3 linked regions of the Danio rerio genome follow. The protein of the gene in region 3 binds, or shares a complex with, the protein of the main gene of each other region. Links are inferred from orthologs where the notes say so. Each region holds a gene or a part of one and is shown on either strand. Other genes may lie near its edges. The genes, in order: adma, ramp1 and calcrlb.

Evidence for each region.
Region 1: the proteins of calcrlb (region 3) and adma are in contact, whole or in part, in a cryo-EM structure (PDB 6UUS), measured with the Homo sapiens proteins. The link is inferred for Danio rerio from reciprocal best matches to the Homo sapiens genes CALCRL and ADM. Residues at the interface, in NP_001258680.1 of Homo sapiens: Val36, Thr37, Asp70, Gly71, Trp72, Asp90, Tyr91, Phe92, Gln93, Asp94, Phe95, Asp96, Pro97, His114, Ser117, Thr120, Trp121, Thr122, Tyr124, Thr125, Asn128, Val135, Ala138, Leu139, Leu141, Phe142, Thr145, Thr191, Leu195, Ala199; in NP_001115.1 of Homo sapiens: Cys110, Arg111, Phe112, Gly113, Thr114, Cys115, Thr116, Val117, Gln118, Lys119, Leu120, Ala121, His122, Gln123, Ile124, Tyr125, Gln126, Phe127, Thr128, Asp129, Lys130, Asp131, Lys132, Asp133, Asn134, Ala136, Pro137, Lys140, Ser142, Pro143.
Region 2: the proteins of calcrlb (region 3) and ramp1 are in contact, whole or in part, in a cryo-EM structure (PDB 6E3Y), measured with the Homo sapiens proteins. The link is inferred for Danio rerio from reciprocal best matches to the Homo sapiens genes CALCRL and RAMP1. Residues at the interface, in NP_001258680.1 of Homo sapiens: Asn39, Met42, Thr43, Gln45, Tyr46, Glu47, Tyr49, Gln50, Lys51, Ile52, Met53, Gln54, Thr68, Trp69, Asp70, Gly71, Arg113, Arg119, Thr120, Phe228, Leu231, Ile235, Thr239, Val243, Ala244, Gln250, Trp254, Tyr255, Leu258, Phe262; in NP_005846.1 of Homo sapiens: Trp59, Ile63, Tyr66, Arg67, Ala70, Phe83, Trp84, Pro85, Asp90, Phe93, Leu94, His97, Gly98, Phe101, Arg102, Cys104, Pro105, Ile106, Ser107, Gly108, Arg109, Ala110, Val111, Arg112, Asp113, Pro114, Ile118, Leu119, Phe122, Ile123.

The regions. Positions count from the first base shown.
Region 1 is NC_133182.1:72,308,002-72,318,352, reverse strand, and holds adma (adrenomedullin a precursor), read left to right. Parts: upstream 1-4,780; 5' UTR 4,781-4,899; intron 4,900-5,296; 5' UTR 5,297-5,308; coding exon 5,309-5,400; intron 5,401-5,494; coding exon 5,495-5,608; intron 5,609-5,719; coding exon 5,720-6,029; 3' UTR 6,030-6,977; downstream 6,978-10,351. UniProt on the Homo sapiens protein: Adrenomedullin/ADM and proadrenomedullin N-20 terminal peptide/PAMP are peptide hormones that act as potent hypotensive and vasodilatator agents. Numerous actions have been reported most related to the physiologic control of fluid and electrolyte homeostasis.
Region 2 is NC_133184.1:30,533,740-30,544,030, reverse strand, and holds the start of ramp1 (receptor activity-modifying protein 1 precursor), read left to right. Parts: upstream 1-4,781; 5' UTR 4,782-5,099; coding exon 5,100-5,145; intron 5,146-10,291. Other genes in the region: epb41l5 (band 4.1-like protein 5), read left to right, coding at 7-73. UniProt on the Homo sapiens protein: Accessory protein that interacts with and modulates the function of G-protein coupled receptors including calcitonin gene-related peptide type 1 receptor (CALCRL) and calcitonin receptor (CALCR). Required for the transport of CALCRL to the plasma membrane.
Region 3 is NC_133181.1:12,635,620-12,646,023, forward strand, and holds the start of calcrlb (calcitonin gene-related peptide type 1 receptor), read left to right. Parts: upstream 1-5,493; 5' UTR 5,494-5,558; intron 5,559-8,303; exon of another isoform or gene 8,304-10,404. UniProt on the Homo sapiens protein: G protein-coupled receptor which specificity is determined by its interaction with receptor-activity-modifying proteins (RAMPs). Together with RAMP1, form the receptor complex for calcitonin-gene-related peptides CALCA/CGRP1 and CALCB/CGRP2.

The sequences.
Region 1 (10,351 bases), on a different chromosome or scaffold from region 3:
AATAAGCACAAATTAGCCATGTTTTACAGCATAAAAACAAAAAAGAAACAAGTTAAACCATGATAACTACAAAATCACATTTGTTTTTGGTAACCTCCAAAACTATGGTTATACACAAACGCTAAATGCCAAAAAATGGTAACTTACACTGTAAAAAATGCTGGGTTCCAGCAATCAAGGTAACTCGTTAGTTTTGTTTACAAATGTAAGTGGATTTAACATAAAAAATTAAGTTTTCCCCTCAAAAAAAAAAAAACTTGTTTTTTGTGCTCATTTAAAATAGGTATTTTGAGTAAACAGCAAATGTATTTTTTTAATCTACTACTATAAGGTTGAAAAGTTATTGTAGTTGTTATTTTGTGCCACTACACTGTGGCAAATTTCCTACAGTACTGTAAAACCCTTCGCACCAACTGGTTAAGCAGGTTTTAGAACATGGTAGTTGGATGTTGGTTGATCTTCACCTTTTGGAAAGAGCTAATGACCACAATTTAGTCACATTATTTTTATTTAGTAAACGTAGACAGGGAAGCACACTTCATCTTAATTATCTAAAATGAAAATACTGACCAAATTGCATGGCTCACAGCAGTATAAATGATGTTCATAATTCAACGGAAAGCTTTAAACAATAAGTAGCACACTATATATATTACAACAGACAAAATAGTGTACTGAATTTATTACATTTATCTTCAATGTACATACAGTACAAAATATGAGGTTGTTTTTACATCTGAATTTTCTATAAAAAAAATACTTTAATGCATGCATGGAGGTGCTATTACTTAAAAAAAATTAAGTAATAGTAATTTACAAAAAAAAAAAAAAAGGTTCTCCAGTGGTTCTTTGTGGTAGTTTCGTTGGCTCGTGATAATATTGGGACCAATATTGCACCAAATGATTAGTTTTTTTTTTTTTTTTTTTTTGATGTGGTTAAGGTCGTTCCCCAATAAAGATGAGCCAAAAAAAGTGCTGTTTGTCACAATTTTTTGTTTTTTTTTCTTGTCCAAATATCTAAAAATTCTTAAATCACGAAGCATTTTCTAGACAAGTATAAAATATTGCTTTGTTTTCAGAAATAATGAGTGAAAATGACATGTTTTTCCCTTAAAATAAGAAAAGTAATCTTCCAATGGGGAAAGTGAAATGTAACCCAAAGGTACCAAAGAATAGATGCAGGTTTTGTTCAATCAAAAAAGAAAATGAGAGCACAGTGCTCCCATAACAGCATGCAATACTGATACTGTGAAGAGGAAAGTTGTTCTTTTTGTTTTATGCGCAAACAAAAGTAATCTTGTAGTTTGATAATATACTATTTAAAGCACATGATCTGTTTTGAAGAATTTTTGGAGTATTTTTCTGGACTTCTGGACGAGTTGCGGTCTGTAGCAAGTCTATTGCTGTCTATGGAGGATGAGGGAGCTCTCACATTTCACTTGAATTTTTTTTATTTGAGTTTATTTGAGTTTATTTGAGGGTTAGTAATTAAACAATTTTCTAGACAAAAAATATATATATTTCTTTTACTTACCACATTGGGAGATTTTTTTGTCCTGTTTTAAGGGGAAAACACTTAATTTTGACTTATCTCTTAATTTGTTGTTGATTGTCTAAAAATATTTCTTGATTTAAGAATATTTTAGACTAGAAACAAGACTAAAACTGTAAATAAGAAAAGCAGTGTATGATAAACGTATATTTACAATGAATATTTACATTTATCATTTAAAAATAGCCATCAGAATAAACCATACCAATATAAATAAATAGTTTAAAAAGATAGTTCACCCAAAATGAACAAATACTCACCATTTATTCTCCCTCAAGTGGTTCAAACCCACCTGATCTCACAAGGAAATGTAAGTATTTTACGTTTTGTCAGTTTGGTGGCTAATTCGTATAAGTTCAAACAGTTCGGTCGTATGTAAATGCACAATTTTAAAAAGGAGGTGTGGCACCTAACCCCGCCCCTAAATCCAACACTGAAATGATTCAACGATGATTCCTTGGATTTACAATTTTTTTCTAAGTTAAGTGGTTGTGAAAATTTTATTTTTGCTGGATTTAAACAACATTATTGAACATTTAAGATTATTAAATTATATTTGTTTGTCTAAATTCAACATATATAAATTATTTGCAACAATTTTGCAGACATCTTTTTTTTCAGTGAACATTCATTGGGGACTAAGCAATTCATACTAAATTGTACAAATGAGATCGTGTAAATTCATACGAATTAGCCACTAAATAAAAAAGTTACGAATTGCAGTGAGATTGTGTTGTTCAAACTCATTCATTTATTCATTTTTCTTCCGGCTTAGTCCCTTTATTAATCTGGGGTCGCCACAGTGGAATGAACCGCCAACTTATTCAGCATATGTTTTACACACCGAATGCCCTTCCAGCCGCAACCCATCACTGGGAAACATGCACACACACACTCATTCACTACAGTCAATTTTAGCTTACCCAATTCAGCTGTACCTATCTTTGGTCTGTGGGGGAAACAGGAGCACCCAGAGGAAACCCACGTGATTGTTTAAACTCTTTATGAGTTTTCTTTCTTCTGTTGAACACAAAAAAAGATGTTTTGAAAAATGTTAGAAACCAGTAATAATTGACTTCCATAGTAGGAAAATCAAATATGAAGTCAATGCTTACAAGTGTCCAACATTTTTCAAAATATCTTCTTTTGTGTTTGTTACAAGTGATGAGTAAACGATGACAGAATTTTCAGTTATAGATGAACTATCCCTTAAATAAATAACTTAAATAAATAAATAAATAAATAATGCCGCATAAGACACCATGACATGTAACATTAGGTATAAATAACATATACAAAGGTACTACAAAAATACCAAGGTAATTGTTGTCAGTGAACTAAACTATATCAAAAGTTGTCACATTTCTGATAATCTCTCTCCTCATTGCAGTGAACCCCAAAATAAAAAAAACAACAACAGCAGTAAATTCCCGTTAAATATCTGAAAGCTCAGCCCCATCAGGGTGTTCAGTGACTCATTGTAATGCTAGCATTCCTGAACGTTTAACACACATAAAGCTACCTCCCAGCAGCCACTATGGGTTCCCCCATCTTACCTGATCAAATGTCAGCAAACCTTCTGATAACTATGACATATTGGTTTAGCAAATATTTACCATATATGGACTGAGAGTGTGTGGATGTTGAGCAATCTTTCCATATAAGGACAAATCAAGACTGCAGTAATTAACATGAACAGATGACATTCGTTTAATAAACGTTGGCTGTTAGATGGAGAACCGAATGCACATATTAACTTTATTTGCTTATTTTTCAAGTCATTTGATGTAGTATAAAGTGAAATTAGGTGAAGGTCAGTAGGCATTCTCGCTAAAGTGTAAATCTCTCTCTTTATCTGTGTTTACATATCCAGGAATGGACAGTTTTACCCTTTTGCATAGAAAATACTATCAGTATCAGCTTAATGAATGTATAGGCTTAATTATATTCAGTATTGTCATGATCTATATATTTCACTTTATTTGACAAAAATAAAATAGGTAGCATTAGATAACTGATTAATTATCATGAAGCATTTGTTGTGTCTTTGTTAACTTTAATAGCATCAATTTTTGACTTTAATAAATGTAATAGCAAATATAATTTAATATAAATGTAATTGCAATGAACAAGTCAATGTTTGGTAACTAAAATAAACAAAGACACATATAAATATGTATGCTGTAGCTCACTGCTAGGTAATATTACAGCATGAACTGATGTTAACTAATAGGTCTTTGTTGTAAAGTGTTCTCAAAAGCTCACGATACTTTGTGTTAAATCAGTTAAACTGCTTTGATAAATTATGTTGTTGTTATGTTATTGTGTTACGTGTAGCTGCATAAAGATATTAATATTCGTATTTTGCATTAATATAATATTAATTTAACCTCAAACAAGTTAAACATTGTTTTTTTTTTTTCTTATTTTTGTAAGAGCACACATCATTTCTGTACCCCCAGCCAACAACACAGGTCTAAAAGTCATCAGAAAAAAAGGCTAAATTCACTCTAATGTTGTCATTTTCTAAAGTATTCACAAGTACTGGCATTGGTTTATTTTTTCCCCCAGAATTAAATCCCTTAAGCCATTTAATGAATGGGGTAACATGAACTAACAATCAACAAAACTGCTTCTTTATTAACTAAACTGAACAAATATGAATAAACACAGTGGCAAATTGGTAGTTAATATTAATTAAAGCGTTAACTGATGTCAACCAGTGGGTCTTTGTCGAAAAGTGTTACCAAAAGCTCACTCAGTACTAGTTGAAACAGTTAAACTGCTTTAATAATTCATTTTTATTTTCATATTGTATTATATTTATATGCATTGGCCATGATTTTTTATTTAACAATAATATTTTACATCAAACAAGTTAATACTTGTTGTTTCTTATCTTTAAGGAGCATACAGATCATTGCCATACCCCCAGACAACACTCAAATACAACAATCAACAATGCTGTTTAAAAAAAAAAAAAAACTAATTTTTAGTAACGTTGGCATACCCCAAAGAAATCCCCGTGATTACTGGCAGCGGTTTATTGCTTCCTTAAGAAAAAATTTGATTAAGCAATTTCATCAATAAGCCCAGTTTCATTTTCTTATTCTCTTTGGTACTTTGAGATTTTCAGCTTGAGCAACGGAGAGGAAGTCCTGAGATGAGAGAGTGTGTCAGCCTCGGCCCCTCCCATCTCTACTAGTATAAATGCACTTACCCCAGCTCTGGAGAGTCAGACTATTAGAAGAGTATCACTGCTGCACCAGCATTCCCAGCAAGTCAAGCGCCTTTGGATTACTTTCCACACAGACTTCTGAGGCCAACCCAAGAGTACGTCAACACAGGTATGCATTTCTAAATATGCCTTTTTGTTACTTGCTTGGGATCAATGCACAGGTTATCTGTAGTTACGTAAGAAATCTGAGACCCAGTTTTGCACATGTAAGCCAGGCAAGTGTAACTGTAGTCTTATTGAAGAGAATTTGTTGCCTGATGTAGTTGGAAGAATATACATCATTTAGTGCTTATTGGGGACCTGAAGCATAGCTGCAAGTTTACTTATTCATAGAAAGTGCAACCTCAGCTTGACATAGTAAATAAATGCATGATGAGAGTGTAAATAGCTTGGATTTTGGACTCTTGTGCAAGCCTGAGCAAAGCATGGTTGGCACAGAGTAGGGGAGTTGCATTCAGACTATTGGAGGTTGATGTCTAACAGACGATTCATTTATTTCCTTTAAGATTTCAATCAAGATGCAACTGATCCTGCAGTCAATCTTCTGCTGCTGCCTCCTGGCCGCCGTTGCACCCGGCGTGGACAGTGCGAAGCATGACCTGAAAAGAAGGTAAGCACTCAAGTCACGACTTGATTCAGTACCGATGTTCACTGTTGCTTGAAAAGTTTTCTAACGGACATGCTTTCCTCTCTTTGATACTCAGCGTCTGGCTTCAGAGATCAAAAAGGGATTTGAGTCTTCCTGCACTGAGGGCTTTAGAAAACAGGCAGTTTGTCAGACCAGACGACGTTAAAGACAACTTGAGGCCACATTCCAGGTAAGAAAAAATGCAACTCAAGTCACCGTTTTCTGTTAGAACATTAAACTTAAATGAATTGCTCAGAAATACCAGCCAGGCATTAACGTCTTCTCTTGTCTGCCTTTCCAGCACTGACATCAGCATTAGAGCAAAACGCTCCAAGAACTCCATCAACCAGTCCAGGAGATCAGGCTGCTCGCTTGGCACCTGCACGGTGCATGTGCTGGCACACCGTCTCCATGACCTCAACAACAAACTCAAGATTGGGAATGCACCCGTTGACAAGATCAATCCCTACGGGTATGGCCGCCGGCGAAGGTCCGTTCCAGAGAAAGTTTTGAGACTGCGGAAGGATGGCAGTGGGATGAGGATGGTGTGGAGCAGCTCAAACTCTCAATCGTGGCTGCACAAGCTGGAAGCGCTGCTCAGACGGACGTGAGCGTACGGGGTGGGAGCACTTGGGGACGCGGCGACAGAGGCTCGCCTGGCGACAGAGACTCCTGCCAAGAGTTCTCCAGCGCATTCTTGTCCAAGCACAGCGACTGGAAGAGCAATCCAGTCTCCTGAAGGCTGCCCTCGATGGGGAACTCCACAAAGAGAAGCAAAGAAACAATAGCAGCAGGGAGGCAAATGGAGCAACTGAACAAGTGTGCCTTGGATATAAGCAAGATATCATTGCACTGAAGTGGACTGGCCTCAGGGAAAAGCAGAACTTCCTCTCTTGGGACTGCCGTCCTGGTAATCAAGCCGGTGGGATTAGTTGTGCTAGACCAGTGTCACTGTGTCCTGAAAGACTTTGGACATAACAGGGAAAGAATCAAGATTCCAGAATGGAATACACACTCAGAGAACGACTTTGAAGATGCCAATGAGGGTGTTTCTAATTTGGAGTCGCACGTTTGGACACTGTAAGCAGGATGATCGTCTGATTGAATTGGTTATTAGAACTGGTTATATGTCCACAAGGATTGCACTCGAACTTACTTGAACATTGTTGTCGTTGTTTTTTGTAAAGAGATATGTGCAATCTATTACTTCTATCTATTAATATTATTGCGAGTATATGTATATTTGAAAAGAAAATTGTGAAGAATATCACTATTTAATTGTTTTATATAATTTTGTACTACTTCCAGAGAGCTATTTTTGTACAGGGATCAAAAATATTAGGGGCATTGAAGGTAGCATTATATATATATTATTCATGTCAAAAAGCTGTGGTATAGGATAACTTTTTTATGCATATATATATATGTGTGTGTGTGTGTGTGTGTGTGTGTGTGTGTGTGTGTGTGTGTGTGTGTAAAATGGGATCTATTTTATTTGTGTGTTTCTGTGAAATGTGAATGTTGTCATTCAATAAACTTTTGCATACAATTAAAGCTGACGTCTTCGGGAGCTTGTCTGTTTGTTCCAAAGGAAGTGAAGGTAGTAAAAGGAAAGTCTTTCCATTGTTTCTCGTCCGGATTGCCAAGTGGACAGACAGATGATCAACACCTGGTCTGGGTTATTACATGTTAAAGGGCCTGGAGGGCAAACAGGGTGCCAAGTGCTTTCTGTTTCAATACCTTCTCTAGATGTAGTAGGTAGTAGATGGAGAAATCTGTTTCTGAAGGAAGAGTGGGCTAGGGTTGTGTTTAATGGCTGCTCTACATGGGGTGGGTTTCTGGATGTAGAGCAGAGGTGAGAGGCGCTCCATACCACATTCCACTTCAACACATCATTTTCATTCCAATCTTAATGAGAAGGAACTTCTGAAATGCACTCTTTTACTGTTGCACCCCTGTAACCCTAATTTAAAAGCACCATATGATGCTAATCACAAATGAGCACGTACACAGAAGAACACTGATAATCTCAATTTAACAAGTGTCCACTGAATACAGGTTGAAACCAAAGACGGTTCTGCTACTGAATTTTATTTATAAACTGCCTTCATCAAAAATTTAGATGTTTTTAAATCTATAAAAGCTTAGGTATTTAGTGTTACTTGATTAGTATGAAATGCTAACATGTTTGTGATGTCAGAAAGCTAAAAATAGCCTATTTTTTTTCCGTGTTCTACTGGACATACTGCCACTGTTTACCTCCCCAGGTGAACAATTATAGCTTGCAAGTTTTTTTTTTTCTTAGCTGCCAATTGAAAATAGGCACTCCCTTAAAATGTTGTGGTTGCTGAAATATTTGAAGCCCCAAGTGAAACATTTGGACTTTTTCTTCAAAATGAGTGTTTGAATAAACTTTTAAGGTGTTTTCAAGAGGGTCAGATGCTGTAATAAATCATATTTCCGACCTTGTGGCTGAAAACGTTCGCAGGCACGCGGTCTTCATCTTGTCTTCTTATTTTAATGCTCTAGCTCCACCTTGTGGTGATTATTACTTAAGTTGGCGGGCTTTTGCTAAGATTTTGCAAATGTGTTCTGGGACTGACGCCATCTCCCTCATTCATCGACACCTCATAAATCTTCACCACTTCTGTCAGCGAATTTGGACCAGCAATGAACACAACTCTTTTAAACTTTGGAGTCTGGATATTTAGATTTTTTTTTAACCAATTTAATGACCGAATATATCATCAACGTTGTGTGAAATATGTTTTGGTGGACAATACTGGAACGTGTGATAAGTATCACTTTTTATTGTGACATTTGAATAGTGTCAACATTTTACTGACAAATGTCCAGAATTTGTCCCATTCATGAGCTAATTTGTCTTATTTTGACTGCTATGCCAAGCTTTAAGACCAATCTGAATCCGCTTCGGTGTGACTTTAGCTAATGAGTTTTGTCCAATGCTAACAAATACATTTTTCATGAGTCCAACATCCAGCTGTGCGAGAAAATACAAGATCTGATGTAAGAGAAGTCATCTTTTGCTACTGTATTGTTTTTGAATAGAGAAAACAAATCTTGAACCTTACTCTTAAAAAACAAAAACCGAAAAGCACCAAAAGCGGCCCATAGTAAAATGGAGTTGAATAATACTATTTTGGCTATTGTTGTTACATGAATTTTCAAATTTACTTTTTTTCTATTTTTTTATTTTAATTTTTTTTACAAGAGAGGCTAGAAAAGTGTAAAGCTCTACATTATTATTATTATTTTATTTTTGTAATTGAAATGGCCAAATTCTGACTGGGAAAAGTTGAATGCGCTGGACAGTTAGTTATTTGCCTAATACCCATCAGATTATGCTACCAACACTATATTTGAATAGTTCTGATGTGTAGATTAGGTAGGTTAGTGCGATATTACAGCTTCATATCACACATTAAAATTTACACTTGTAGCAAAATCTGAGGGGTAGCATATTCATGCGTGTAGCCAGGGGGGTTCGAGTGGTTCGAACGGCCTAAAGGTCCAAAATTTGTCCGTTTATATATTTTATGTAATTTAATATTATATAATATATTTAATATATAATTAAAATATTTATAGTCAATATATATTCCCGTCATGTCTGTGTTTTTGAGGCTGGGAGGTTCGGAGGACCCACCCCTAACTGACAAAGGTCCAGAATTTGTCCCAAATATGAGCTCATTTGTCCTATTTTGACTGCTGTGCCTTCATAAATAATAAAAATAATTCATCGAAAAAGGCTTTAAGACCAAACGGAATCTTCTGTCAGAGAAGTCTTCTTTCACTACTGTATTGTTTTTGAACAGAGAAAACATTTTACAGGTAACTTTATTCTAAATCTTGGACCTTATTTCTGAAATAAAAACGAGCAATAAAAAGGTGTGAAGCACCAGAAGCACACAAAAATATATTGGCTATTGTTAATATCCAGGAATTTTTAAATGTACTATTTTTTTAATTCTGAAGAATTCATTATTATTGTTTTATTATTATTATTATTATTATTATTATTATTATTATTATGAAATGGCCAAGTTGTGACTAAGGAAAGTTGAATGTGCTGGCCTTTTTGAATATGGTTTGTTTTTGTCTATTACAGTTTTTCTCAGTCGCTTTGGTGCATTTCTCACAACACTATTTACATTTGCACAACAGGTCATGCATTTCTCAAAACAATTAGTCATTTGTGCACATCCTAGTAGCAGTTTCTCATTCCTTTCAAGAAATTGCAAATGCTTTTGGACATGCATCAATTGCTTTCATACAACTCTCTGCTGTTTATAACATTATCATCTGCTTATGTCATGTCAGTCAAAATGAACTAAAGTTGTAAATGCTGAATAGTCATTCAATATAAAACTAATAGTCCTCCTTACATTACTTGAGTCATTACATACAAAAATGTTGAACTTGATGTCAAAATCGGTCAAGCAAACTTCATAAAAAACAATTTAATCTTTATTTTCTTGAAAATGTCTTTAAAATTGAACAATTTGATGAATGATTTACAGACCTGTGTATGTTATAGGCTCAGTTACAATATGTTCTGCAATATTGTTTACAGTTGTGCACAGCTCTACCCAAAGGGAGTTTATGTTTGTTGTAAATAAGGGTGTGTTTATTCTTTTGCACAATGCTGTGAATAAATTAGGATTGTAAAGAGCATGTGCAGTAAAAATGTGAAACATACATATTCAGTGTCTTGTACTCAGATGCCTCACTAAATATAGTGATGTCTAACTTTACTGTAGTTTTTAAATGGCTGTGCAAATAGTACAAAGTGCTGTCTAGAGCATTTTCAGCAAGTGTCACCAAAATCTGACTTTTTTTGCATTGAAAAAATGTACAGAATAAAGTGTCATAATGAAAACATGACTAAGCCATTTGACTATCTTGTTCATAA
Region 2 (10,291 bases), on a different chromosome or scaffold from region 3:
TGACAGCATTGTGGCTCACTCGACCAAGGACAACAACCACAAGCCCAAAGGTCTACTGACCACTGAACTCTGAAAGCGATGCCTCAAGCACATGCCCAGCACCTGTACCTTGGACCATCAAAACATTTCTTTTGAGCACGACATTCCAGTCAAACACATTCCAGTGCCCTTGCAGTGCAGGAACAGACAACTGTGCTGGGCTAACATAGAGAACAGATGGCATCCACGAGCCCAGATCTCACCACAAATAAGAGAACTTGAAGGGCTAGCAGCACGTTCTCAGTGTTTGACGACCACCTTTCCTTTTATAACTCTTATACCTCTTTTGATTGACTCTATACAGCTCTTTGTTGTAGCAGCAGCAGCAGCAGCACATAGATGACCCGCTCCTGTTGTGAATGGATGTTTGATCATCTAGAATGTTTGATCTACTTGCTGTCCACTTCTTGTTCAGATCTTCTGATTGGACGACTGAGCGCATCACTGACTGTTTTTCTTCATGCAGAAGTTCTATTTTTATCTTTGCCTTTCTTTTATGTTCTTATGAATAATAGCAGCATTCCTTATTGCGCTTTAAGTACTACTCTTAACTGCACAGTTGTTAGAGCACTGTTAGCACTGGCCAACATGCAGTCGTCAAGTCGCTGAGCCAAGATCTGCTGTTTGGATCTTTTATCAATGCTGTTTTTATCCAAACACTGTAGTTATGACCTGCCTTATTTTAATAGTTCATATAATATTTTTTTTAATGTACATGACATGAACTCATTGCAGCATAATGTCATTTGTCATCTGTTTAACTGACATATTTCACTGAGTATTCAGTGTAGTGTGTAATAGCAGCTTTAAAAGGGTCGATTAACCCAGAAATGAAAAGGTTCATTATTTTTTTCAGCTTCAAGTTGTTCCAAAGCTGAGTTTCCTGTTTAATATTAAATATATTCTGAATAATGTGGGTAACCAAATCCCTCTTAATGCTGGTTTTCCCATTTTTGTCCCTACTATAAAAAGCAAAATGGGGATCAAAAACTGACCTGAAAGAAACTCTTATACGTTTGGAACCATTTGAAGTAAATGATGACAGAATTTTTTTAAAGATGCTGAATTTGATTTTTTAGAAGATACAGGAGCAGCTGAGACGTCTCTGACTTGTGCAGTATTAAACTGGACAACGTAACCAGCTAAAATGTTTTAGGTGTGATACTAGAGGCCTTTCATTAACCCTTTCTTTTCCTCCTGTGTAAACTCCATAAGCAATTGCTGCTATTTTTCAGTACACTGAAAACTGCATTCTCGCTATAAATCACTGGATCTGAAATCACTGGAATCAAATATTTAAAGGTCAGTTATCAACTTTTTATACAAGCAGTTTTTGTGCGAGAAATTGTAAGTTAAACTTCTGAAAAGGTGTTTATATGATATTCATGCTCTGATTATTGGAAATGCTCAATCACAGAAAGCTGTTATAGCAGGAATATATGTATATGCTAATCACGTTTGTTCTCTGCGTCTCAGTGTAGGCTTATTTACATATTATATTAATGATCTGTAGATGTCAGCAGTGATCTGTTTATTTCGATACGCTGAAAAGTGTTATACACTGTAAGCCTTGTCATTTTGTATGATGTGAGACGTTCTTTGAGTAAAGGGAATTTTAACATGGTTATTGACTAGTGCTTTTGTGTGTACAGTTTGGAGTATTCTGAAAAATTTCCACTCACACTATTTCTTCAAGGAAATAATTGTTTCATTTAATCTTAAACTTTGCTGATTGATAGGCATAGTAATGTAAAGGTATACTGTAAAACCCAACAGTTAACTTAATCAAACGAAATGAGTGTAGTTAACTCAAATTTACTGAAAGTTAATTCTACTCATTTTAAAAGAGTTTTGAACTGTTGAAGGTAATGAGTTAATTAAATACCTCATTACGTCTACTTAAATAGAGTAAGTTTATGCAAGGTACTTCTATATAGATTAGTTTTTTAAAACTTAAATGGTTTGTTTCAATCAGTTTCCTTAAACAGTTTGAGTTGGCATAATTTGGGTTTTACAGTACTCAGTTGGTTTAAGTTCTCTTCATTTATTGGGTTTTACTGTGCTCAAATTGCTTTGTTTACTCAAATGGACTAAGTTCAAAGTACTCATTAAGATTAGTTTTTAAACTTAAATGGTTTGTTGCTATCAGTTTTCTCAAATGGTTTGTTACCTTAACTTTTTGGGTTTTACTGTGTATTGAGTTATATTGAACTTTTATACCAATCATTTTTAAACCGTATTAGTGTAATAAGTGTGGTCAGGCAGAAAAAAAAATTGATGCACATTTATACAACAAGCAACAGCAAATTGTGCACAAAATAATCATGAAAATTGAGTGTCAAGGATTGTAGAAGCCAACTATTAATGCTCCCTGAACATAAACGTGATGCTGTCATTTCCTTTAACCCAGAGGTGCCACTTACTCAGGTAAAACTAAAAATTATTCAAGTCTTTATGAGTGAATGTATTTATCATTGGGTAATTGTGGTTGTTCGTTTCCCCTCACAGGGAGGATGAAATGTCCAGTGTGGCAGCAGGTGGAGCCAGAGAGCTTCACCAGTCGGATAGGATCACGCTCGGGTCCTCAGGCTTGTATACAAAATTGGAAGCTCACATAGTGGCAAACACACAGGGTAATATTTCCCACCATAAAGTAGGAAATTTATTTGACAACAGTAGTATTTGTAAAAAAACTACAGTATCAAAAAAAAAATCTAGTAAATTACTATTTAAAGCAGGGGGGCCAAAACCAAATATAATTGGGCTATAAAGTTACTATTGCTAATTTATTTCATAATTTTTAAAAAATATAATTTTTTTCTTAAAATCCTAGTAGCTAAAGCAGTATAATTTGATTAAAATGGAAAATACAGTCACATTTTTTATAGCACAGTGGAGTTCAATGCTGAGTACACTAGTCAAGCAATATCAGCTTTTGTTCCCATTTGCTCACTGATTTCTCTGCATTGTGCCCAATCCATCGGGTGACAGTATGTGCATTTAAAAAAAATCTAATTCATTCAACTGAAACATGTAATTTCCATTTGTTTTTTGGGGGGCTTAGCAACAAAACAAACAAACAAAAAGTTAGATTAAGTAGAAATGACAGTCTATAAACCATGCTCATCATTCTCATTCTCTTGTCAGATGGGATGGTGGGCCAAATTAAAGGTTACCATGGCCCTATTTTGAACATTTTTGGATTAAAGGATTTGTATAACATTTCTAAAGGACATATTTTGTTGTTGTTATTGCTAGTCACTGAATTAAAAACTTGATTAAGACCCTTAAGCAGGTCGCACACCATAAGCGCCGCTCGGCGCCGCGACACGGCGCGTACATGACAGTTTAAAGTATCACACACCAGACGCGCACATTCGAATGATATTTAACATGAAACTAATCAGATGGCGCTCTGTGGCGCGGCTGAAAAATGAACTGCGTCCTGAGCCGTCGCCGGGCGCCGCCGACAGCCGCCGACTTGCGGCGCCGGTGTGTGTATCCTGATAGAAACCTATGTTTAGAATTCTAAAATACATGGCGCTGCGTGGCGCTTCTGGTGTGCGACCTGCTTTAGGACGCAGTTCATTTTTCAGCCGCGCCACAGAGCGCCATCTGATTAGTTTCATGTTAAATATCATTCGAATGTGCGCGTCTGGTGTGCGATACTTTAATCTGTCATGTACGCGCCGTGTCGCGGCGCCGAGTGGCGCTTCTGGTGTGCGACCTGCTTTAGATGAATAGTTTTCACCCATTGATGGATAAATGGTTTAATTACAATTCATTATGAATATTGGAACAATTACACACATTAAAGTATTCCAACTGCTTTTAGATTACTTTTGGCCTAACTCATTTATTTAATAGATTTGAATGGAATTATTATTGGGTACTGTATTTTCTTGTCGTGCTTGAATTGAGTATTAGGTTGAACTATTTCAATAATTTTATCATGTAGTTAAAAAGGCAACTGATTATGAACTTTTTTTGATGCACAATCGAACTAAAATATGTATTTTTCTAGGTCTGATTATACGCTTAAGATTACATATAAGCATATAACCCAATCCTACGTAACCTAATTTTTGACTTCTGTGTAAAATATCAACAACTCATAATAAACCTACCAAATATGTATTAGAACCACAGGGTTAACTTAGAAACGTTTTGTCACAAATCTTAAATTTGTAATTTTTTATAAATTTATTGTGCAATGCTAAAGCCCCACTAAGAAAATTCCATTCGTTTTTCTGCTACTTAATTCTAGCAGCACTGCTGCTGATGCTTTAATGATCAGACCAACTAATCATTTTGGCAAATGCACCTGTAATTCAGATTATGACCACAGATGGCGTATCATCTCACGTTTACTGGGGCTGGTTTCCTAAATTACGAATTTACATTTGGACATAAAAATTTGCACCAGTAAGCTACACAGAAAGTTTCGAGTCGAATTTCTTTTGTGTTATTTATTTATTAATAGCATTGGGTGTATTCACTATTTATAAATTGCAAATGAAGAAGACGGGAGTAAAATTGGAAGAAACAAAATGAACACTAAAACCTTGCATGATATTGGGGCTGCAAATGTTTCCTTTTCATTAACCGCAGAGTGAATCGTAGTGGTTTCCTCACTTCTGCAATCAATTAGTTTGATGTTTATTATTAGCTAGCATAAGTTGATGAGCAGTGAGGGAGGCGCTTCTCGTATAATGTTCCCACAAGCGCAGCTCGCATCTTTCAGTAGACGCGCCGCCACCGCGCGCCCGACCAACCACGAGAACTACTGAGCGCGCGCTCCAGCTGACCCGAGACCCGCTTCAGACAGGTGCTCGTTTGGGCTTATTTTGACGCTAAAGCAGTACTTTATGAAACACAGGGCATGCTGGCTGAGTGGAATAGAGGATTTCTTCCTTCCTTCAACGTCTTCAGTGCAGAACCAGCGCTGAATGAAACTGTATGAACAATTAGCTGACAGACGCTCAGATGTGTCTAGCTGTGAAGGAATAGCGACGATTAACCGACCAACAAAAAAAACTTGTGTTTGACATTGACGCGTCATGGCATCAGTGTCGTGGAGACACGCGCTTTTCGTCTTGGTAGCTGGTAAGTTAAACTGGTTTGTCCTGTTTGTTGCCTGCATTCCTGCCTATTATGCATGTTATTAAATTCCATGAAGGCTAGAAAATACAAAAAAAAAGTAGAAAAAGCTGAAACAAATGAGAAAGTATTATGTAGTTTGAAGGACTAGCGCTAGTCACTGTGGATATTCCTCAGCAAATGTTAACACAATTAAGCAAATATTGACTGTTTTTTATTTATTTTATTTATTTATTGTTCAACCGTAAATAACATTGAACTTTGTTGTAGTTGTCATTTTAACACTTAACTAAACGCTTAACTAAACGATTAAACTATAATAAAGCATGAGTTTGTATTTATAGAACCAAATATTTTGGAAAACGTTTTATTTAGTGCCTTATGAAAATTAACCATTGGTTTACTACGAATAAAACTAAAAATTAAAAATGTTAATTAAACTGTAGCTGCAGTGAAACTAATTATATATAATGTGGTTATGCCAAAAAACAGGTTAGCTACACACTAGTACTATAATAAAAATATGGCTTGGTTTCTTAAGCAGTTGGTTTTCAAATATATTTGTAGCATTATTAATTAACAGTATTTGCTGTAAGAATATTGTTTATTATGCTGATATTATATGTTGCACCATTGTTGTTCATTTATTTTTTACTGTTTAAATGTCTAAAAAACTAATTTTTATATAAATATATTTTGATTTTGGGTACTACGCACAGTTGTAAGCACTGAAAGTGTTGACAGAAAACATATAAAACTATGAATTAATTTGATCGCCACTGTAATGCTTTTTTGGTAAAAAAAAAACACAAATGCTCTGACCCCGGTATTTTTCACAATACACAGGGGTTGAAAATTTTGCATAAAGACATAAATTCATAAGTGACAAGCCCTCCCACGTATGGGTCAATTATCTAATTTTCTAATTAATAATGCATGGCAACCTCCTCCTGTTGGAAAGAATTCATTTCACACTTACCTTAACAAGCTGCCTGAGCTGTGCCGAGCATGACTAACAAGCAGCTCTCTGCTTTCCTTGATTTTCTGTCACCATTCAATTGGGACCGCTATATTACTCGCCAAAGCTTCATGCCATACTTTTGTGGAAGAATGTCTATTAAGAATTTCAATGCAACTGCAAGCGATTTGTTGACATGAACTGACCTGACAGTGAGAAATATGACATTTTCTTGTTTGTGACAGTAACAAACATCCGTTTGGGTGACAAAAAAGGAAACAGGGTGCTAATGGATTCACACAAGAGAAAGGCATTATGCTCACGCAACTGCAGAAAAAAAATGCAATCAGCCTGTAAAAATCTGTGACTCTTGGATAAACACTTCTGCTCCAGTTAAGCTCACTGCAGTGAGTGCGCTATAAAATATGTAGATTTAGCAGGGGAATCTTCTGACTTTGAAACTCTGAGGAAGTGAACTCAGGATGAGTGTCTGTTAACCATGGCCAGGTCTGAAATGAAGCGTGTTTTATGCTTTGCGAAAAGATGTGAACAAAAACTTTGATATGCATTTCAAAATAGGTCACAATGCCATATGTTGTATTCCAACTGCACTGCATTGTTCAGTGTTGCTTCAAATGACTCTAAACAAAAGGTTAAAAGGTGCTGTAGTGTAAACTCTGTTTTCTATGGTCAGGTTTGTCTTACAAATGTGTTGTGCCAAAGACAACTCAATTTCTTTATCGAAACATAAAGCTAGTTAATCTACCTGCATTAATGTAGTAGCTATCTGACTATCCAGACATTTACCTGACCTGTTCTTGTTTTATTGGATTTTATTTTCACTTTTTTCTGTTCTTTTTGATTTTCACTTGGCCTTCCCTTTTATACTTTGGCTTTCTTTTATATTACCTTTCCATTTCCCGTGCTTTCCTTTTTTATATATGTTTAGGATATTTGAAGTTTTGATGCTTCCTTTTTTCCTTGTTTATTTTCTTTTCTTTTCTGTTTTGAAATCTGAAACCAGCAGAAAAAAAATTGAAGGAAAATGACAGAAAGCGGTATAAACAAAGAAAAAATGGAAGCATATGTAACTTTAAAAATCTAAAATATAAAAAAAGAAAAGAGGAAAGAACAGGAAAAGGAAAGGTAATATAAAAGAAAACCAAATTGTAAAATGGATAAATATATTTTTCTTTTTTTTTCTGCTGGTTTCCCTTTTATTATTTGGCTTACTTTTATATTACCTTTCCTTTTTCCGTTCTTTTTTCTTTGTTTCTCACTTTTTGTCCTTTTCCTCAAATTTATTTTCTGCTGGTTTCAGGTTTTGTTTTTACTTTTTCTCTTTTCTATTCTTTTGATTTTCTTTCTCTTTGGTTTTTTACATTTCCTTTGTTCCTTTTCTAGTTTTATATATTTTTCCCTTTTCTTTCCTTTTTTTTAGCTTGTTTATCTTCCTTCCTATTTCTTTTATTTTATTTTTCTTGTTTCAGGTTTTGTTTTTCTCTTTTCACTTTCCTTTACAGGTTATATTATGCTTTCCTGTTTACATTGGCTTCCTTTTACAGTATATGTTCTTCTTTCCTTGCTTTACCCTTCATTCATTAATTCATTCATTTTTTTCGGCTTAGTCCCTGCAACCTTTCACTGGAAAACATCCATACACACATTCACACACATGCACTTACCCCAATTATCCCAATTTGCCTATACCGCATGTCTTTGTATTTGTGGGGAAAACCGGAGCACCCGGAGGAAAACAACGCAAACACGGGAGAACATGCAAACTCCACACATAAATGCCCACTGACCCAGCCGAGGCTTGAACCAGCGGCCTTCTTGCTGTGAGGCGACAGCGCTACCCACTGCGCCACTGTTCTGCCCTCCTTTCCCTTTAATGTTTCATATTTTTTCCCATTTACTTTTTTTTCTTTATTTAATTAGTTTATTTCCCTTTCTATTCCCTTCCTTATCATTTTTCTCTTTCCATTGATGGTTCCTTTGCTTTCCTCCTTTTTTTCCCTTTAAATAGATGTCTCCCACTCTTTATAAATGGCTGCGTCAATCTTCTCCCACAGATGCACCATGGGAGTCTGAGAAGTCCTAGGATATTGATGGCATCATGACTATTCACTGCTGGCAGAGAGAAAAAAGGGGCTTCATGCGGTTGTTGCGATGCGAGCCGAGAGAAAAATGCCAAGCACACTTTATAAACCCAACAAAACATTCACTGTGTTTAAACACAGAATACTTTATCTTTTGAGAGTCACTGCCTTGGCAATCAGACATGTCCAAGTCTGATAAAAACAATAAATACTGTAAAGGAGACATTAACACTATGAAGGGGGAGCACAAAGATGCATCCTATCTAGTTCTCTAAATGCAGAGAAGCCCGGTGCATTTCTCTGATTGAGGTGAATAACCTGATGGCAGTGGGCGTGGAGATCTCGACAGCCGGAACAAGAGCAGATGAATATATGGCTGCTCTATTTCTTCGCGCTTGTCTGGACTGCTTTGTATTTCATTCCCATTGCACTGCCTTAAGCAGTTCTACCCTTGTGATGATTCAGTTCAGTAGGTCTTGAAACTAAGTGCATTAGTGAGCATTGTGTGCAAAGAATTTAATGCTGATTGATAATTGTTGTGGAATTCGTCTTGCAAACGGAGCGTTTGCAATTCTATTTAGAGGGTTGCTGGACTAAACCGAGCATGCTTGATGGTGCACAATGACTGTTGGAGCTGAACAGTTCAAATGCATCCAGATTTCTGATTAGAACACACAGTCTAGACATAATCTGAAGACATCTCAGTAACGTTAGCTTTGAGTCACTTGTAAAAGTGGACTGAATCGTTCTCAATGATTTTTTTATCTTTATTGTCAATATAGCAGAAGATTTAGCATGCAGTGAGACATAATATTTTCCATTAAAGCTGAAAGCGTTGTTTTTCATAAATTCATAAATACCTTTTATTCATAATATGTTTAGTGAATCATTGCTTCACTTGCCTAAACATGCATGTTCTGTTTGGCCAGGAGATGTGTGAATACGAAAACATGTAAGCAATGCTTCCATGTAAAAGAATGATTCACACACTAGTCACTTAGAAGCAGTGTTACCTAGGGTTATGAAACCCTGCTCCAAAACCAGGGTAACACTGCTTTTGTGCTGTTGACCCTGCATTACAGTGGCAAACATGCACAGTGTAAAACAATGTGGTGCATGTGACTGCAGGAGTGTAGAAGAGACTGCTTCATACTTATAGTAGCTGGAACAATCCATTGACTTTAATGCACAGATAGTGACATGATCATCTGCTTGTGTATGACCCACATTGTACAATTTAAAAGTAGGGCAAATGGGTTTATGTAGATTTGTTTAATTGCATTAATTAAAATCATTATAGTATTGCATTCTTTCATTCATTAAATTTCTTATTTTAATCAAATTCCTGTTAATTTCAAAATAATTGTTTGTTTTATTTAAATCAAATAATCAAATATAAATAAACAATTAAAATGCTTTTCTTTAAACATTTACACAGACACCATAACACACCCTCGTTGGTCCCAGACCCTAGTATGAAAAAATTGTTATCACTTTATTTTTTATGGACTTTTTAAAAATATTTGTTTATTATTATTTGACTATTGTGTATACTTACATTGCAACTACATACCAGCTAATTTTCATTAAAGTATTCGTAGGCTGCTTGCATAATATCTGCTGATACTGCAATACCAACAGACATTCAACTGACTACAAGAAACGTTTTGAGTACTGTACATTTCAACTTGCACTGACCCTTGCTCTACACTAATTCTTATTAGAGTATTTGTAGACTCTAAGGTTGGGGATCTTACAGTCTACTAATATTAAGAATTAGGTGGTATGTACAGTACACTGAAAAAAAAATGTTTGCAAAACTGTTGCAAACAATTTAGATGTGTTAAATTTAAACAAACAGCTCCATCCAGACATGTGCGTTCCGCTGATGAGTTTCTATTAAAAGTCCCAAAGGCCCACCTCAAAAGCAGGGGCAAACGTGTATTCAGTATAGCCGGTCCTTGCTTTTTGAATGTACTGCTGCTAGAACGATCTCATTTTTATTCCTGTACTATGTGGTTAACTGTGGTAGCATCTTTTAACTAGGTGGAATTATATAAATCCATTACTTTCTTGTTTCAGGCATTGAAAC
Region 3 (10,404 bases):
AAAACATCCACATTATTGGTGGGACACGTTGACATTTTATGATGGAAAAGTGAATGTGATGTAAGCTGAAACTTGCAATAAAATGGATGTAAGAAGATCAAATAAATTTTATATAAAACGGAATAGAGACCACATATTTATATGTATAAATAGTATATATATATATATATATATATATATATATATATATATATATATATATATATATATATATATATATATATATATATATATACACACACACACACACATACATTTTCATGCGAGAATGAAGTTTTTTAGATTTCAACTATGCAGTTCCTTTATAAGAACAGTGCCTATTTTAAATATTCATAATTTCAGAGATACAGCGCATTGGCATCCATCAGCCTGTCATACTGAGCATAGCAAAGATGGTTGACGTTCCGCCACAAGATGGCGACAGAGACCGCATAATAAGCCCTTATAAGACTACAGTTTATCAAATCATTCTAAAACAGGTAAGTCACTTTTTAAGTTTTTTGTATGGTTGTAGTGCTGTATTTATACCATAGCCTGGTAGTGTTTCTGGTACTTTGCTTTGCGTTAATTATTGTGATATCGCGATTGCAACAGAGAAGTACTGGGAAATGTCTCTAGACTTATGGCTTTTTATGGTGTTTCAGCCTTATAATCTTGAAATGTGAGCAAAATCACCTGTTTTGTCAACACTTTAGACATTAGGCTAGAGAATCATTAAAATATTAGCTCTAAAGTATATAACTCAACTCACCTATACCGCATGTCTTTGGACTGTGGGGGAAGCCTAAGCACCCAGAAGAAACCCACGCGAACAAGAAGAGAACATGCAAAATCCATACAGACATGCTAACCAACCCAGCAACCTTCTTGCTGTGAAGCGAATGTGCTACCCACTGCATCAGTGTGCAGCCTAGCCCATTTTGAGGGATGTAATCAAAAACAATCGTTGCAACATATTTCTTGTTTAAATTTTTAATTTCAGCTTCCGATAATCCAAAAAGAACCACATGTTGATAAATAATGTTATGCTGCTTTAACATTAAATTATGGTTGAATTGTGTCTTGCTACAGTTAGAAAATATTTTAATAACAAGCAGGAAATGTTTATCCCTCACAAGGCAGGCGTTGCTGATTTGCAACAGTTAAAAGCATAGACTTTGCCTGTTTCTAAAAATTTCATTTGAGCCTGAAAGAGTTAAGGGTCTATACATATTTTTTTTAAATGTGACAAGTACAACTTGTTGGACAGTATGCTATAAATGTTTTCTTTTTGTTGCTGTTGTTGTTCATTTTATTTAATTTGTACTTATACAGCACTGTTCATCCTATCATTTTAAAGCATGTAAGTCTTGTTTGTAATTTGCTACATGCAACATAAAGATATTAAATATTAGAACAATTTCCAAAGGTGCGCAGAAACTTAAATAAAAGTGATTTGACACTTTAAGTAATATATCAGTATTAATACAAATAATTGATTATCTGAAATCAAAACGCAAAACCATTGTTGAAGAAAATGTGCACTTACAAAATAAATATGATGGATACATTTTATTTATTAACAGCCTTTAATAAGGCTTGCCCAGTATCCTTTAAATGCCAAACAACAACCACACTGTGAACCTATGACTGATTGTTTAGCTCCCTCTAGTGTTTTGATGTTTTCTAACATTTGTTAACGTTGCAGTTTTACTTTCAAATTACATATATATTAGTTTAAAGATAAATATAGATAGAAATATACTATGGTGTATATACTATACCAAAATAATAATAAAAAAAGCTTCTAATGAAATGTTTGACATATGGAACAACAGTGCTTGCTTGAATTTGTCAGCAGAAGGTTGATTTGCATATCCTGTTCTATTGGGAAAACAAAAAGCAGGAGTGGGAGTGCCCAGCTGTCAGTCAGGATGATTGACAGTAGCTCAATGAGCATTCTATAATGCGCAGATTGAATAATTTCTCATCTCCCCAGAGAGGAAGAGAAAGGATCAAGAGTAACAACTGATTCTGCAGCCCCCAGTGAACCAACCTGCTCAAATAAAGCACCCGAAATAGACATAGTCGTTTATTTTTTGTTCACTGTAAATGACTAATTGTATTAGAAAAACAACAAAAGTATTCCTGTCAAAGTTGTTCAGAAAGTCGCTGTACATGTTTGCATACACTGTAAAAAACAATAAGTCATTACTTGTTTCTAGTGTTTTCCATTTATTTATGGTTGTGAATTGCAGTATGGGATGTTGATCTCCGCTCTGTTGACTTTTAGGGCCCTATCATACACCCTGCGCAATAAGGCACAAGAGGTGTTTCCTGAAGGTTCCATAATGGTACCTCACATGTACATTTCAGGTACATTTTGGTGCTAATATGCACCTTTGAGGCTCCATTGTGGGCTATTTGGGTACAAATATGTATCTTTTGAAAAGGTACTGCCCCAGTGACAGCTCCTGTACCTTTATTTCTGAGAGTGTACCAAATTGACATTGCCCGTCCTTTTACGAATGCCAAATTGCAATGTTGATGCTTAAAATATATATTGTGTAACCCCACTTTAATCTATTTATGCTCATAAAAGTCACTTTTTTTACTTTTCAAGGTTAAAAATTGTTGGAAGAAAGATCAAGGTGTCATAATGCAATTCCAAAGCAGAAATATACATTTATAAATAATAAAAAAGATGAGATGAAATATGTAAAACTGCTAATTTACAGATGTTTTAGTGTATATACTGTAGTGTGTTTAGAAATATCCCTAATTTTTTTTTAAAGCCTAGTTCTCAGTAATTTAAGGCTTCTTGTTTTGTGTGATGATTCATTTAATGGAGGTTCATCATACGTATTAATGTTAACAGCTTTAAATGTGTAGTCACACGTCTCCTTTTAAAGCCAGGTTTTAATATTTAATGAACGTTATCCCTGAAATGAATGAGAAGTGCTTTACATTGTCATACTTGTCATTTCCACACAGTCCCCACAAATGAATTATAATCTCTCAATGTTCCAAATGCCCTCATTAAAACCCTGGCTTCCATTTTTTCTCATCAAGACATAAAGAGCAGATCGTAAGGTTAACAATAAAGCGAAAGTACACAAGGACAGAGAAAGTCTAGCCTTGTTGAGATTAACAACTGGATCAGATTAAAAGCTTGGGACAACCAAATTTAATTTGTTAATGAAGCAGTTCTTCTGTTTCATTTTATGCTTTATATACAGTCATGAATTCATGTCAGGTGATTGGTTGGGCCATTCTACAGCTTGATTTTCTTTTTCTGAAAGCATTTGAGAGTTTCGGGGGGTGGGGGTGAGGGGGGTGGCATCTTTACTGTATTGAACAGTAGAGTGGAGGTAGGAATGTGTGGGGAGCAGAGAGGGAAAGGATTGACAAAGGATTTGAGCTGGAATTTTAAATCATGTCACAGGGAAAACAATACATGTCGATCCATTTACCCACTAGTGACTATTGTCGTTGACATTCATTTTCATTTGTATTCCCCCAGTTGCCTACTAAAAATGCATGGTTAAACATTTGTTTACGTGGCAAAAACATGGTTGATTTGTTTTGATTTTTGATTTGTTATTGTGGCAAAATGTTAATCTTGGCAAGGTTTTACAGAGCTAGAAGTCTCAAAAGCAGTAAATATAATATTTTGATAATTATTTTGGATATACATAGATATAAAATCATCTTGTCTTAGTCTGAAATGACAGTCTGAAATGGAGTGGATAACTGTATAGGGTGTATTGTGTGTATATGAATAGGGTGTGTGTATTTGAATATAGTGAGTCATGTGTGCATATGTATAGTGTGTATGTGTATTTATCTGTAAGAAGTGTATAATGGGTGAATATGTACGGAGTGTCTCATGGGTGCATATGTATGGAGTGTGTATATGTATAGGGTGTATTGTGTCAATATGTTACAGGGTGTATCATGTGTGCATATGCAAATAGTGAGTCATGTGTGCATATGTACAGAGTGTATCCTGTGCATATGTATTGAGTGTGTGTGTGTGTGTGTGTGTGTGTATGTGTGTGTGTGCGTGTGTGTGTGTGTATAGAGAGAGAGAAAGAGAGAGGGAGTGTACATCGTTTTACAATGGTTTTACAATCGTTTTTACAATGGTTTTAAAGGATGCTTGCAAGCTTCTTGTACAGGGGTGCCCAAACTCGGTCCTGGAGGGCCGGTGTCCTGCAAAGTTTAGTTTCAACCCCATAGAGACACACCTGGGCTAGCTAATCAAGTTCTTATTTGGCTTTCTAGAAACATCGTTGCAGGTGTGTTGAGGCAAGTTGGAGCTAAAATCTGCAGGACACCAGCCCTCCATAACCGAATTTGGACATCCCTTTTCTAGTAGCTTGTGACATGATTCCAAGAAGCTCACTAAGAAGTGATATTGCCAAGACTACAAATTAATTAATAATAATAACCGTCAAACCCAAGCCTGAAACATTTTTTAAAACTCAAGTGTTTCAGGTTTGATATTTGTTACTTTGACTTAACTGTTAGTTTTATATGACTATATTTTGTTCTGACAACCGTAGTATTCTATTAGTACTGTTTTTTGTATAAAGATGAACTATATTATTTCATACTACAATTTTCACATTTAAAAGGCAAAAAAGCAGGGGTGCGTAACTGTTGACTAGTGTTAATTTGAGTTTTTTTTTTTTTATTTATTATAGGTGTTTAACTAATCAGAAAGATTCAGTGACCTCGATTTGAGAATAGCTCTTGGTCACTTTAAGTTGTTGTTTTTAAATCGATTCTTATATAAATTATAAAATAAGCTTGGGCTTGCCTTAAAGGTTATAGTACATAAACAGTACATCAGCAAGCCCTTTAACATTACTAGGTACTAAAATGTTCAATATAGATCCTTTAGGTACAAACGTGTCGATTTTGAAAGTGTACCACCCCAGTAGGTTTTTGAGAATGTATAGAGCAGCCAGTACAAACCTGTAAGCTTTATTGTGCTACAACATTACTTGTAACCCAGGTTACCCATACTAGATCCATAGAGCCAATCACTGATATCAGTGTCCCTACTAAAACACGAGGGGGCGCTATAATAATTGTGTATTTCGACAAATCCATGCGTATGTTGCATAATTGGTTCAATGGTTAGCTCAGGTGTAGCTATACTTGCAATGTCGTTGTTTTTAGTCATTTAAACTGGATTTTATGAATAGTAGGATATGTCCTATAGGCAGTATTTTGTTTACTAATAGGTAAACAAAAACTGTGAAATAGCTGACACAATCTTGAGTTAAATTTTTGTTAATGTATCACTTTATTGGATTATTGTATTTAATATTAGACGCGTTTTACGTTGTCTGTAGGCTAACTTTAGCATACGCAGTCTAGTCCTCGTCGTTATACCGGTAAACTGGCCAGAACTCACCCCTGTTCGGTGTAACTGAGACTCGGATGAGCAGTGATGTCACAGGAAACCCGCTCCACACAATCCTCTGCTGCTTCAGGGACCGCAGTTCATCAGCGAGCACATCTCCTGCACTGCTCTACACACCGCGGAGAACACAGCAGCTAACGTGGTAAGACACACTTTATTCTCACACCAAGAATAAGCCTACTTTTATGACGCTTTTTTATTGACAGTGGATTTTATATTATGAGCAATTGGGCAAACTTTACTTCATCTTGATGTGGCATATTGTTCAGAACTAGAATATAAAGCTTCAACATTAGGCTACGTTATTATTAATTTGCGTATTTAAATTGTTGTTATAGCCTCTTGGATCACTCTAAACGAGTTAGTTTAGTCATTTTGCTTGTTATTAAAGAACTTTTAAAGTTTAAAAGTTTCAGATTGCTTGTCAGCTTTGAATTAATCACCTTTATTTTGTCGAGAATGACAGTTTGGTTAAATTAAACAAGTTTGTTAAAGACCTAATGCTTTCATTAGTGTCAATATTGTCATTTGTAACAACACATTTACACTAAGAAACAACAAAAACAATTAAACACTAGCCTATAATGCAAAACTGTAACAGTCATTATCCAATACATTATTCGATACCTCCAATACAGTGAAAGACTGATTGGATAACTGGGCAATTTAATAAAATATTTAATATAATTTCAATACAAAATGTCCTGAAAACCTTCAAAGGAAACTGTAATAAAACAAAAGTTTATAAAATATTATTAGCAAGTAAATATTGTGAAAATATGAATTGATCTTATTTATTTATTGTTTGCTTGTAATGTTTATTTTTTACATTTATATGCTTTTATAATATACCAATTAGTTGTTGAGACAGTTTGGTTTTATTAATTTAGTTCGTTTAAAACCACTGCTATAGTGCTTTTATTAGTGTTAAAGATATAATTTGTAGCAACAATCAATTATTATTACAGTAATTTTACCTCCAATACAGTCAAAGACTGATTGGATAAATGGGCGATTAATACATTTATTAATATAATGTTAATCCAAAATGTACTGAAAACCTTTAAAGGAAATTGTAATAAAACAAAAGTTTATAAACTATTATTAGCAAGCAAATATTGTGTATATATTCATTGTTTGCTTGTAATGTTTATTTTTTACAGTTATATGCTTTTATAATATACCAATTAATTGTCGAGACAGTTTGGTTTTATCAAACTAGTTTGTTTAAACCTTATATAGTGTTTTTATTAGTGTTAAGGATGTAATTTGTTACAATAATCAAATATTATCATAGTCATTTTACCTACAATACAGTAAAAGACTGACTGGGCGGTTAATAAAATAATGAATATAATGTTAATTCAAAATACTAAAAACCTTTAAAGGAAATTTTAATTAAATAAAAGCTTATAAAAAATTATCAGCAAGCAAATATTGTGAAAATATTTATTTATTGTTTGTATTATTTATTTTTACAATTAAATACTCTTAAATGCTTTTATAATATATCAATTAATGTATATAAAATATAATTCAAATAAAAATGTATATATAATTACCTATATGTATGAATAAGTGCTTAAATAAGTGCACAAGTTTTAAAGACCTAGTCTTAGAAAAGTAATCAAAGTTAATAAATGTTTCACATACAGTTAGATAGATTGGATGGTTTTAACTTATTATATTTTATGATATAACACCATTGAACCGTTTAACCATTACATAAAAATGAAAATTTACTGCTTACATAATTTACATTGTATTAACCCTTTGATGCACTACATGGGTCTAAAGTGACCCGTCTAAGCTTATTTTATCTATATATATTTTATAGCTTGTACATTAAATGGTTAAAGTACTCTACTGTTTGTTAATAAAGTGTTAATTTGGAATTCACACACCAACATAAAATATATACAATTTTTGGCAGCAAACCTTTTTAAAAGGCATCATCATTTATTATGTTTCTTATTTTATTACATTTGTTTTGGTGCCACGGTGGCTCAGTGGTTAGCACTGTTGCCTCACAACAAGAAGGTCGCTGGGCCAGTTGGCATTTCTGTGTGGAGTTTGCATGTTCTCACCGCTCCAGTTTCCCGCACATTCCAAACACATGCGCTATAGGTGAATTTAATAAACTAAATTGTCCGTAGTGTATGAGTGTGTGTTTGAATGAGAGTGTATGGGTGTTTCCCAAATACTGGGTTGAGGCTGAAAAGGCATCTGCTACGTAAAACATATGCTGGAATAGTTGGTGGTTCATTCTGCTGTGGCGACCTTTGAAATAGAGACTAAACCGAAGGAAAATGTATGAATGAATATATATTTTGACTGTTTGATATCTGTGCGTTATCTCTATGAGTTTGATCATTTCCGCCGGATAGAGCTTTGTGCTGTGTTACTTTAAAATTAATCCTTCGTAGTAAGGAGTGGAAAAATTGGTGCTATATACTTGGGTGTATCCTAAACGGACATGAGTTAAACTATCTGTCAGTGGGCTTTCTGATTTAGGGCCTGGAGGGTGGCTTTTCGCAACCAGGCCCAGTTTAAAGAGAGTGACAGAGAGAGAATGGCGGAGAGGGAGTAGGTGGGAGACTCTGGGTATTAAACAAGGGTCTCTGGGAATGTCACATCTGTAAACCACTCCTTCAGCTTCACAGGAAGGGCAAAATGTTATCAAGCTTTAGGCCCTCTGTTTTTCCACCAAGTTCTGGGGTCATCCGATTATCCAAAATGTCTGGGAAAACACTTCATTTTTTACATTCCTATTAGAATGACTTTTATTAAGTGATTTATGTCTGCCGCCTAAACCTGAATGGCACCAGATTTATAGCTGTTTTTCTTCTCTTAAAAGTTTCAATGAGTGGTTTATGGGTTTTTTTTTGTAAAGTATTTCCTTAATCATCTCCCTCTGTTATTGTGAAAACGATAAAGATAATATTATATTATACAATTAAGAAGTGCTGATCTGCAAGAGGCACTTAAAGGTCCCATAAAATTAGAATAAAACCTTTTAGATGTTAGTTTTACTCAGTTTTATGGATATCTGAAAGCTGGTGTGCATTTAAAAAATCTAAAACTGATATAAACATCCAAAGCTCGCAGTTTGTCGCTTCCAATTGAATCTATTTTTTTCATGGCACCTCATACTTCAGTTTCTCATTAAATCTTGACCAATCAATATCTGACAGGCTCCGCCCCTTCTCGTTTCTTGCTTCTCGAGGCGCTTCTCATTTGCTTCTCATTTGCTCTGCTTGATCTCAACCACTCTCACTGGAAGAGCTGTGATTAAAATTAAATGCTATTGACTTTAAAATAAAAAAAAAATAAAAGGGAGAAGCTACACTTTGTACCAGCCTCTCTTCATTTTTCATTTAAGATTATATCAAACATGGAATAAAAAGTGCACAATTCAAAGCACTTCACGGGAAGAGATCATTGCTGATATTTCATAGTTCCAAAGAATCATCATCTTTTTCAAAGAACTTAACTTTTGACTTCTGCGTTTCTTATTGAGCTTTGCTTCTCATAATATTCAGCATACAAAAAAGACAATGATAAAAATAATGTCTTGAGTGGGTCCTGTCTTCATCTACATTGATACTGATAGGTTTGTGTCATTTGAAATGGATCTCTATCCACACAAGTACTTCATCCACATTGTAACATTGGAAAATATGAAAATTGTCTGACTGTGTATGCATCTGATGTGATAAAGGCTGAGGTGATCATGAGACCGAACATAAATTAATTTCTTAAGCATTGTCATTTTATTCATAAAATATCAAACTAGTTAGTCCAGCTCAAACTCAAGTGTCATTTAATGTACGTTTAAAACAGAGGTACTGTATTCAACTAAAGTTTCAAGAGGTCTGGTCTCTGTATTTCATTATCAGCAGAGGTCTGGACCGTACTTTCTTTTGTTGGAATGGTTATACATTTCCATCTGGGCAGCAGCAGGGTTTTGTAAAATGTAAAAAAAAAACAAAAAAACTTAATATTCCAAATGGTTGAGAAGAGTCTGCAGACCGAGTCCACATTTATGCTCAGACATGCATTTAATGAGCTTTTAAATGTACACCTAAACCCCACCCCTCACAGTTATGTCACTAGCTCTACTGAGTAGGCGTGTAACGAATCATGGGTGATCAGTGATTCATACGGATCACGACCCACTTGTAGGTTATTCCAACGTTTGTAACAGATGCAGAGAGATCGCCTCTCACGTCATTCAAGTCACATGTTTAAAAGCATTTTGGCTTCCCTGTAAAATACAATGATGACAAAAAAAAGTTATGGTGGGCCTAAATGCTTTCAAGAGCAGTGAGTGATTTTGTCCTTTTATTGTTTAATTAATCATTAAAAGTTGGCAGCAGGTATATTGTGCGCTGTCACTTTAAGAGCAGTACGGTTCTGATTTATGGTTTCACATTCACATCTCTTTTGATTCTCAACTCGTTTGTTTATTACATAAATGAGGGTTAATATGAATAATCACTTAACACCGCGTTTTGATACAAATGTACATGTATTTGCATGTAACACTTAAAATTACAGAGAGAATAACTTTCAAACATAGTTACTGTATATAACAGCCAAAGATATTTGATTGAAATAAAAGTTATGTCTAGGCCTGTCATCATAAAGCCTTTTTGTTGTGCGATATATTATTACAGAAATTGCTGCGATAAGCAATATTATTGTCATTTTGAGATCATTCTGATTATACAAAACTATTATAATGCAAATACTCTTAAATGCTTTTAAGAGACGAAAAACTTTTCATCCTTAAGGTTATTTAGAATCAGTAATTTGATGTTAAAACAGTAAATGTCCCATTATTAAATGTCCTATTAAGTAAATGTCAAACAACAAACATTGACACCAGTGAGGTAGAATGTAAATGTCCTTGTAAAATGGCTGTACTGTTATTTGCAAATATGTGAATATATATTGAAATTATTGAAGTCATATGTAAGTAATGA